2 linked regions of the Drosophila melanogaster genome follow. The protein of the gene in region 1 interacts with the protein of each later gene in a pairwise test. Each region holds a gene or a part of one and is shown on either strand. Other genes may lie near its edges. The genes, in order: Pepck1 and teq.

Region 1 (5,157 bases):
CACCATCACATTCACTAGCACAAACACCACCACAAATAGCACAACACACACCGACGAGCAACAGTTTGCACGGCCAGCCGCTCGGGGCTTTCTGCACTTCCGTTTCCGCTGGCGACTGCCGCTCTCACGAACTTCCGCCCGGTCGAAGCTGCGGCGGCGGCTGCTCGAGCTGAACTGTGGTGCCCACCGATTCTTGGCTGCCTTTTTCCTGGCTCCCGATTCCTGTGAATCCGAAGTGCTGGAAAAGCTCCGACTGTTGAGCTTTTCGCGGCCTTCCATTGGGCTGGAAAATGGAGCCGAGGAAAGCTAGCGAATGCAGTGGATAGCCGTTGCAGGAGATGATTGGGAAATCATCTAGCGGTTTCATCTTATATAAGGCAAGTGGGAAAAATTTAACTTAATTTATTTCTATAATCTTGGCAAATTAACACCATAAATTAGGATTTTGAAAAATATTAAAAGTCTTAGTTATGAAACAAGAGCAAGACTAGTTACAAGTGTCACATTTTATAATTATAACATTTGAAATTTATTTAGCAATCATTTAAAAATCCTAAAACGTATTAAAACTTGTTTATCTATTTAACTGATTGTTTGAAGCGTTAATAAATAAATCATGCAGCTATAAAGCATTTATTAGTATATTAACTATTGTATATATACTGTTTAGAATGTTCACAACATTCAAAAATCCAAGTTTGTGATAAATAAATACTCATATAGGATGTAGGTTATAAAATCGTGTTGTTTTATTTTTTTTTTAATTTTCTCTGTTTGTATGGCCTACTTGCTAATCTTATGGCTGCTTATATAATAAATAGTTTGGAAGTCTTCGGCTTAAGAACTAGAGAAACGACTAAATAAGGTATTGGGGACAGGTATTTAGGACAGGTTAACAAATTGGGTTGGTGATGGGGTCAGTACGGGATAGCACAGTGGGTGAGCAGGTGTGTGGGCAGGTAAAGATGCTGTAGATGGGACTCTCCTCATTGATCCTTCTTACAGGTTGTCTACGCGGGAAGATAGCTCGTCCAGCTGCTGGTAAATGCTGGCCGGAAGATCGGCGCCCACCTGTGACTCGAAGTAGGTGCGAATATCCTTGACCTCCTGCGACCAGAACTCCTTGGGCAGCGAGAAGATCTCCTTCACGTCCACCTTATCCTTCATGCCATCGAGGTTTAGGGCACCCTCGGCGGGAATGTGTCCAATGGCCGAGTCCACGTAGCAGGATTCGCCATTGACCCTGCGCAGGATCCATTCCAGCACACGGGAGTTCTCTCCGTATCCGGGCCACATGAACTTGCCCTCGGCACTCTTGCGGAACCAGTTGACGTGGAAGATCTTTGGCACCTGACCACGCTTCTCCATGCTCAGCCAGTGGGCCACGTAGTCGCCAAAGTTGTAGCCAAAGAAGGGCCTCATGGCGAACGGATCGTGCATGATCACCTTGCCCTTGTGCTCGGCCGCAGCAGTGGCCTCACTCCTCATGGCTGCTCCAATGAAGACTCCGTGGGTCCAGTCCCGAGCCTCATAGATTAGGGGCACTCCGGCGGGACGACGTCCTCCGAAGAGCATGGCGGAGATGGGCACTCCCGCCGGATCTTCCCAGGCTTCATCGATAATCGGGCACTGGGCGGCTGGAGTGCAGAAGCGGGAGTTGGGATGCGCAGCGGGCTTGCCGGAATCCTTGGTCCAGGGTTTGCCCAACCAGTCAGTGATTTGGACATTGGGAGCCAGACTGCTTTCCATGCCCTCCCAGAACACACCGCCATCAGAGGTGGAGGCCACGTTCGTGAAGATGGTGTTCTTGAAAACAGTGTTCATGGCAATGGGATTGGTCTCCATTGAGGTTCCTGGAGCCACACCAAAGAATCCATTCTCTGGGTTGATGGCACGCAGCACTCCCTGCGAGTCAAACTTCATCCACGCAATGTCGTCGCCCACGCATTCCACCTTGTAGTTGGCCAACGAGGGATTCAGCATGGCCAGATTGGTCTTGCCACAGGCCGAGGGAAAGGCGGCAGTGATGTACTTCTTCTCGCCCTTGGGATCGGTGATGCCCAGAATCAACATGTGCTCGGCCAGCCAGCCCTCCTGCTTGGCAATGGTGCTGCCAATCCTCAGGGCGAAGCACTTCTTGCCCAGCAGCGAGTTGCCGCCGTAGCCCGATCCGTAAGACACAATAAGGTTCTCGGCGGGCTTGTGCAGGATGATGGTGCGTTCGGGATCACAAGGCCAGGATGGCTGCTCCACCTGTCCGTTGGCAGGGGCGCCCACAGAGTGTAGGGCGCGGACGAATTCCTCCTTCTTGGCCAGCTGGCGCAAGACAGCGGCTCCCATGCGTGTCATGATCCTCATGGAGGCCACCACGTAAGCAGAGTCCGTCAGTTCGATTCCGATCTTAGAGAGCGGGGAGCCCACAGGACCCATGCTGAAGGGCACCACGTACATGGTGCGACCCTTCATGCAGCCGGGGAATCGCTGCTGCACTGCAGCATCCATGTCGCTGGGCGAGATCCAGTTGCCCAGGGTTCCCTTGACACCCTCCACTGGAGTGGGAATCGTCTCCTCCCGCCGCTCGGTGCAGATGAAAGTGCGCGACTCGACGCGGGCCACATCCGCCGGATTGGTGCGGGCCAGCCAGCAATTGTCGTACTTGGGCAGCGGCACAATGGTGCCAGCCTCCAAGAGGCTCTTGATGAGCACCTTGTTCTCCTGCTCGCTGCCATCGCAGATGTGCACCTGGTCGGGCTGGCAGAGGGCGATGCCCTCCTCCACGAAGGCACGGACACCGGTGGTCAGCAAATCCACATTTCCATAGGAGATGGGAATGCCACGGATGTGGCTGTACAGACCGCAATTGTCCTGGCGCAGCTTGTGCAACTGGGGCAGACCGCAGACATTGCCGGAGCTAAAGAGAAAGAGAGAGATAAAAGGGAAGTGGGTTATTAAAATTGCAATTTAATTAACTGACTTCGATAGTGGGACCCCAAATAATGGACTGCATTAAAAATTAATTGCCATTAAAATCCCCCATTGAATGCGTTTCGAGTGACCTCTTTAATGTATACTTACATAATTTTGCTTTGTTCAATGAGCTCAGGCATTTTGTTTGTGTTGTTTTTTATGAATTTTTCTCGAAAAAAAGTTTGGAATATTTTTATTAGATTTTTCTGCGCGTGAAAGGGTTTTTGGCACTTTGCTTAATTCGCTTATCACAATTTGAGTAATTATCACAATTAGTGTTCTACTGTCGAGGACTTTGCGTTCATATGTTCTTCCACAGTTTTTTGTCAAACATCAACTTGATTTTCAGACCACTGAAAGTAGGCTTTTCACTTGATCTTTCCATTTACTCTGGCCACGAGTAACTGATGCCAACTGCTCCGATCCGGGGCCTTTTATACCCAGCCGGCGACGCCTGGCCATCGAGGCGACTAGAACAAGTCGGCCGATCGCCACGCAAATCGGGTTTTACGATCGCCTCGCCGAGTGAGAGGGTCAAACTCCGGACGAGCTGATTGGCTGCCGGCGGAGGCTCGGCGATTGTTTTGGTTTTTCACAGGCGGCGCAGCTACGATGAGTTGGTTGTGGGTGGGGGGGGGGGGTCTACGGAATGGGGGGCATGGGCATACAGATACGTATATGGGGTATGTCCCCACATGGCAACAGCAGAGTGTTGTTTTCATGTGGCGCTGAGAGCGTTTTCTAGTGCGTTTGCATTGATAAGCGTTTGTTGTTATTTTGAACACCCTGATATTTGCCACTTTCGCGCTGTTAATTTAATTATTCTATTTATGATTTTATGCGATACAAATGTGGCCGCTGCGAATATAGAAACCAGTTCACGGACAGCTGAGGCAACAGCAGTTGTTGTCCCCTGCAGCTGGGTAAATTCTGGATGTGTCTATAGCTGCATTGGCCACAAATATAGCTACATTGGTGCAACATCGAATGGTGGGCCACATCACACGCGCCCGCCCACTTACGCCTGTTTGACCACATGTGTTGGCCTCTCGTTTTTGGACATTTGCCAAATCGAAAAAAACTTTCGCTTATTTGTAGAATCGGTGACGGAAAATTTGTATGCTAATCCGCCCCCCTCGCGGCATCCAGATGAGCCGGGGGCCTCCCCAATTGGCCATGGCCGCCTTGGAGGCCAGTATTCACATTCATGTGACTCTGGGGGCGCACCAAGAATAGCATGGCCCGGATGGTTGTCATGTGGCCACTCTTGTTTTTGTCTTTGGGGAAGGAGAAATGAAGGTGCTGCCGGTGGTGTGACTTTGTACCCCGAATCCAGTTTACCAGAAGACCCAGAATCCTCTGGGTACTCGAAGAAAAAGTTCAACAGAAGCAGTCGGGAAAGTTGCACGTAAATATGGCTCTGTTTTTCATTGGTTGCGTAAACATTTATTTGGTAGCAGTGTTATTTATAATGTTAAATTAAAACGCTTGCCAACTCTAATTTAAAACTTCAAGCTTAATTCAACTTCATAACAAATAGGCCAAATATAATTTTTATTAAAATTGTTTTAAATAATTATAATAAGCCGCTCACTTAGCCTAGACCCAGAAGAGACTGGCGTCCAACGTCCTTGGAGAAACCTGATCAGATGGTTGTCCTTGGTCCTTGGCTCCCCCCTCTTACAGTCCCCGTCCCCATTTTTGACTCCCTTTACGAAAAGTCCAGTTGCGAATTAAATCGAATTCGTCTACACGCGTTGCCGTGATTTTCGATTGGTTTATTTATAACTATGGACTTGTTTTTCTAGTTGGGCCTGATAATCTTCATCATCGGCATTAATTGCTGGACCCAGACTTGGACTTGGACTCAGACTCTAACTGCTTCGCTCCTGTTCTCACCTAACCGCCACTTGGCGCATTTCGATGATTCGGGCTTATTTGGAATTTACGTCAATAGACGATCGATTCGCTAAATATATGCATAATCAATAATGCGATTGGTTGAGAAGAAGGCAATGGGGAGGAGGGAGCCGGGCGGGTTATCAGTGGACGAGCCTCTGAGTTCGTCTAAATATAGATCAGACCCGGATTTGTGCTGTCGACCAGGAAAACTTTCCGAGGGAAAACATCACTATGAGGATCTTTACATTGCCCATGAACTATTTTAAGGGATTCGATTTCTTAGCTATT
Region 2 (5,031 bases), on another chromosome or scaffold:
AATTTAGAAATTTCAAAGTGAGTAAAAATGCAAAGGAAATAAAAGTGTTGCTGTCGTATAAAATGACTGTATAAATTTTGTTATTGTTCTCTTATCAACGATTAAATGATTTCAAATTAATAACTGCATTTCAATGTTTCCTAATTTCGGATAGCAAAAAAAGCATCGTAAGTTAAGGGTTAATGCAACTACAATGCCTAGCTACGGCCACACTGATTGAAGCCGTGTTATGGTAACAATCAGCTGTTCACAATGATAACAACTCGCACTGCTGATTCTATATAGTTGTTTACGTTGATTATTAGTTTTATATTAATTAAAAATGTCAGCTTTGCTTCTTTTACGCACCTGTAGAAGTTCATCAATTGCTGGCATCTACAAATACACATACCAAGGAACAACTATTGCGAATCACACATGCAATCATCGTCTGTCGTCTACAGAAGCGGCGGCCGCGAGTGTCCAACTGGCAAATGCCGGTGGATTGGTGGGATATTGGCAGACCTTGTCCAACAGCACGCCGGTGGCCTATATGCAGGATGTTCTCATTAAGATCCACGACTACAGTGGCCTGCCCTGGTGGGCGTCCATCGTGCTGTCCACTTTCCTTTTTCGGAGCGTGGTCACCCTGCCTCTGACCATTTACCAGCACAAAATCACCGCCAGAATTGAAAAGATAGCGCTGGAGATGCCGGCCATTGTGGAGGAACTGAAAAAAGAGGCAGCCATGGCCAAGCACAAGTTCAAGTGGAGCGAAAAGCAGACTCAGATTGTTTATCGGCGTTCGGTTTGTTAAAATTCAAATGTTTGCGAGACACTCTTCGTCATGTCAATTATCTTACAGATCAAGAAGCAGTGGCAGAACCTTATAGTTCGGGATAACTGCCATCCCATGAAGACCATGATTGTGCTATGGGGTCAGATTCCCCTGTGGATCTTTCAATCCGTGGCTCTGCGCAATTTAGTGTACATGCTGCCGGATCCCACGTCCATTCAAGCTCAAATCGTGACCACCGAAATGACCATTGGCGGATTTGGTTGGATACCAAACCTTACGGTGGTGGATAACTCTTATATCCTGCCTGTAGCATTAGGTCTTATCAATTTGGCCATCATTGAAGTGCAAGCCATGTCTAGAACTCGTCCTTCTACACGCTTGCAGAACATCGCCAACAATGTGTTCCGTGGATTGAGTGTTGTGATGGTTCCAGTAGCCTGTACAGTGCCTTCAGCTTTATGTGTATACTGGGTAGCTTCCAGCAGTTTTGGCCTTGCTCAAAATCTGCTCATCCTCTCGCCGGAAGTGCGACGATCTGTGGGAATTCCCAAAACACAAACGGAACTCAGTGAGCCGTACGATCTGCTCTGGCTAAAAATACAGCAGAGGCTAAGACTTGCCGAGAGGGCGCCGGCTGATAAGCCGGCAGCCAAATGATCTAGTCTCTTAGTCATAATCACCTAGTCTAATTTGGGTATGACGTTTAGTTTGTTTAAATGCGACTGCGCCACTGTAATTCATCATCATCATTCTTAAGCTCCAACATCTCAGATTCATAGAAGTAAATAAATGAGTGAAAAACCCCAAAAGAAATGCAAACAAAACAAGGCGATAAGACAGCAAAAAGGTCTTGAGATTACAAGCCCTGATAGTGTGGTCCACTCAATTGGTTTGGCGACAAACGAGAGCATCTATCAGCGGCGGCAGAGATAGAGATTCATCCCGAGTCCAATTGAATTGAAATGCGATCTGGGTGTGGGTCAGTCGAGCCTGGAATTCGAACGGGATCACAACGAAGAATTTAAAGCGCGAGAAAAACAATTGTGTAGTTGCTATCAGCATCGGTGCATTTTAAGAAATATTTAAATTCAAATACTTATAAAGCGGAAACGTAAAATGATGGCCAAGTGGCTCCTTGGCCTTTGGCTGGCGATCCTGCTAGTGGATGTTAGTGTAGAAAGTTTATTAATAATTTCAAATTGTGTTTTTTAAGGATATCATCTAGATTCTAGATTATTTACAATTTTTTAAGATTTTAGTCAAACTAAAAATGTTGTTTAGGAATTTAAAACGCGCTTAAGACTTTAATTTTAATTGAACTTAATTACAAGCTATTAGCTAAATTTTGCCTCTAATTACTTACGGTTGTTCAATAATATTTCATAATTGCGCTTTTGACAGCGACCCGGGGCTAAAGCTTATCGATCAGGCAGTGGCTACCACAGCGAGCAGTCGGAACCAGTTGGCTTATCAGCAACAGGGAACGCACACTCGAGTTACGGAGGCGACCAGCAGCAGCCTATTTACCATCGGGATTCGGCATGCCCGCCGCATTTTACGGGTCTGGTTGCATATCCCCACGACTGTCATCGCTATGTGAACTGCTTCGATGGCAGCCCCACCATTCAGACGTGTTCGCCCGGAACTCTGTTCAATGACAGGACCCAGGTGTGCGATCATCCCAGCAATGTGGTTTGCCCTTCAGCGGAATCTGCATCTACTCGACTGGGAAGACTTAGGCAATTAGATAGTGAACCCAAGTGTCAACCGGGAGTGAATGGATTGCAACCGCATCCTTCGGATTGCAGCAAGTTTCTTAACTGCGCCAATGGTCAAGCTTTTATTATGGACTGCGCACCAGGAACTGCTTTTAGTCCAGCATCACTGGTATGTGTGCACAAGGATTTGGCCAAATGCGGATCGGGAACTGGAGCAGTACGAGATGATACCTCCGGCACCGGTACGTATGAGTGATTTAAATACAAAAATCTTGACTAACACTCGGTTAGGCTACCCTGCGTTGCCTTTTGATGACTTGGGCTGTCCACCCGGTACACGTGGGCTTCGTCCACATCCGCACGACGTGCACAAGTATTTGAGGTGCGGAATTGGGGTTAAGCCTCAGGTGGAACAGTGTCCACGGGGCCACATCTTCGATGGCTCCTCTTCGGTATGTGTGTATTCTGACTCCCCTCGGACCTCCTGTAAGTGTCATTTCATTTCTTATCCCTACTGCTTGGCCTCGCTTGATTCATCTGCTTTTTCATTTCGGGTTATTTTCTCATATTACGCTGTACACGCTTTGCTTGCCTGCTTAGTTGATAGACTCTAATCCTGATCCCTTTGAATTGTAACAGCTTCCTCCTTCACGTCGGCTGAGATTCAGGTCAACTATCTCTTGTGTCCAGTGGGAGCCGTTGGCCAATTTGTTCATCCCTTTGATCAAACAAAATTCCTTAGTTGTAAGGATGGTAAATCGGCTGTGCAAAACTGCCAACCTAATTATGTGTTTAGCATATCGAGGCGCTACTGTCAGTTAAAAGCACAATTAGCCTTTACCGACTATGTCACATTAATTATCTCCGAAATCAGCTATGAGTATTGTAAGTTACTTTATCATCACTGTACACTAGAATTTATGATAATATTTTACTAGCACTTATCCTTAATGCCTGTCCTGGTAACATCAACGGCATCTTCTTGTATCCCTACGATGCTAAAAAGTACGTTCAGTGCTCGTCTGGTGGCAGAATGTCCATCCTAAGTTGTGGCCCCCAGATGGCATTCAGTGTATCCCAAAGAAGTTGTCTTCCAAGTCATCAAGTGCACATATCTGATCGGGTGCAGTTCTGGCAGGAAGTCCAAGTTCAGACCACTTATACTTCTCAAGACTTACGGGGAAATGTTCAAAGCCAGCTGTCTTCACTTAGATCGTGTCCACCCAATGTCCAGAAGAATTACCCTTATCCATTCCATGCTGGCCACTATGTCAGGTGCCAATATGGAGCATTAGAGATCATATGCTGTCCCACTGGACAGCTTTACAGCCTCTCCCAGCGTCAATGTGTGCCTCGTAGCCTTCTCTCTGCACATGATTACTTGGATTACTCCTATATCAGTGCTGAACTTTCCAGTAAGCATCTCAAGGAATCTTGATGACTTGGACTTGATTTCAGACCACTTTTTCGTTTACAGCTGAGTTTATGGTGGATCGTTCGACGCTTTCTTGTCCTCCACAAGCACAGGGACTCTATCTGCATCCCTTCGATTGCACCAAGTATGTCAGGTGCTGGAATCAGCAGACCTTCATTGAGAGTTGTGTAGTATGTGCCTATGCAATATTAAGAACAATTAAATAAAATAGCATATTAACTTATGGCAGCACTTTGTTGCTATGTTTATGTTTATGTTTATGCACGCAGTTAGGCCAGGGCGGATGTAACATGATCACCCACTCGAAGGCCACAAAGTATAAGTGCATTGCCCACTCGAAGGCAAAAAGTATAAGTGCATGGTCAGCATTCACACGCCGACCAAATACATATTACATACGTACATACATATCTCGCTCTCCCGATAAGCCTAGATATATAAGATATACATAAGAACGCCGCTCCGCTGCTGGCGTACCCGGCAGCGCAGCTACGCGGATTAGCCTAAGTCCAAATATATAAAAAACTGTAAAATCGGAGAGACTCTGTAGACGTTGAGCTGACAGAACCATTTCTGCCTACTCTAAAATCAAAAGAAGAAATTGAATAAATATATGTCAGCCCGACGGCTGCCTTCAACTTAAAACGGACTTGTGTTCTTAATTGGAGTTCATCATTACATGGCGACCGTGACAGTCGTCCAACGCTGGACGAATTGACCAAAGCTGGTGAAAACAAAGGAACAAAGGAACACTGGACTGGAAGAAGACTGGACTAATTAAATGGAACTGCAAAAACCAAGGAAAAATCTGAGTGAGTAGAGTTCTATTGAGTATGGGCAAACACCGTGGCGGTTTGAAAACTAAGCTGAATAAACGTATAGCCCACGTAAGGTGGCTAATATACGGTCAGCAAACGCCACCGGTTTGGTCGAAAGCTCTAAAGCTACATGCAGAGCTAGACCACTTGTTGCAATATCAGCAAGAATTAAAGACCCATAAGCTCGAGAAAACTCACTCAGATAATATTAAAAATATACCCACAATTAATGAAGTTCCAAAATACCAGGCATGTCCAGCACCAGCACCAGCATTAACAAAA

What was found.
Region 2: the proteins of Pepck1 (region 1) and teq interact in a two-hybrid assay, tested with the Drosophila melanogaster proteins (one large-scale study listed by BioGRID).

Annotation. Positions count from the first base shown.
Region 1 is NT_033778.4:18,534,988-18,540,144, reverse strand, and holds Pepck1 (phosphoenolpyruvate carboxykinase 1), read right to left. Parts: upstream 3,379-5,157; 5' UTR 3,353-3,378; coding exon of another isoform or gene 3,269-3,352; 5' UTR 3,108-3,268; coding exon 3,076-3,107; intron 2,912-3,075; coding exon 1,000-2,911; 3' UTR 729-999; downstream 1-728. Other genes in the region: CG45087 (uncharacterized protein), read right to left, coding at 3,269-3,352. UniProt on the Drosophila melanogaster protein: Catalyzes the conversion of oxaloacetate (OAA) to phosphoenolpyruvate (PEP), the rate-limiting step in the metabolic pathway that produces glucose from lactate and other precursors derived from the citric acid cycle.
Region 2 is NT_037436.4:9,072,885-9,077,915, forward strand, and holds the start of teq (tequila), read left to right. Parts: upstream 1-1,758; 5' UTR 1,759-1,894; coding exon 1,895-1,945; intron 1,946-2,179; coding exon 2,180-2,738; intron 2,739-2,787; coding exon of another isoform or gene 2,788-2,982; intron 2,983-3,135; coding exon of another isoform or gene 3,136-3,381; intron 3,382-3,434; coding exon of another isoform or gene 3,435-3,911; intron 3,912-3,973; coding exon of another isoform or gene 3,974-4,137; exon of another isoform or gene 4,138-4,572; intron 4,573-5,031. Other genes in the region: CG4942 (uncharacterized protein), read left to right, coding at 323-787, 845-1,435.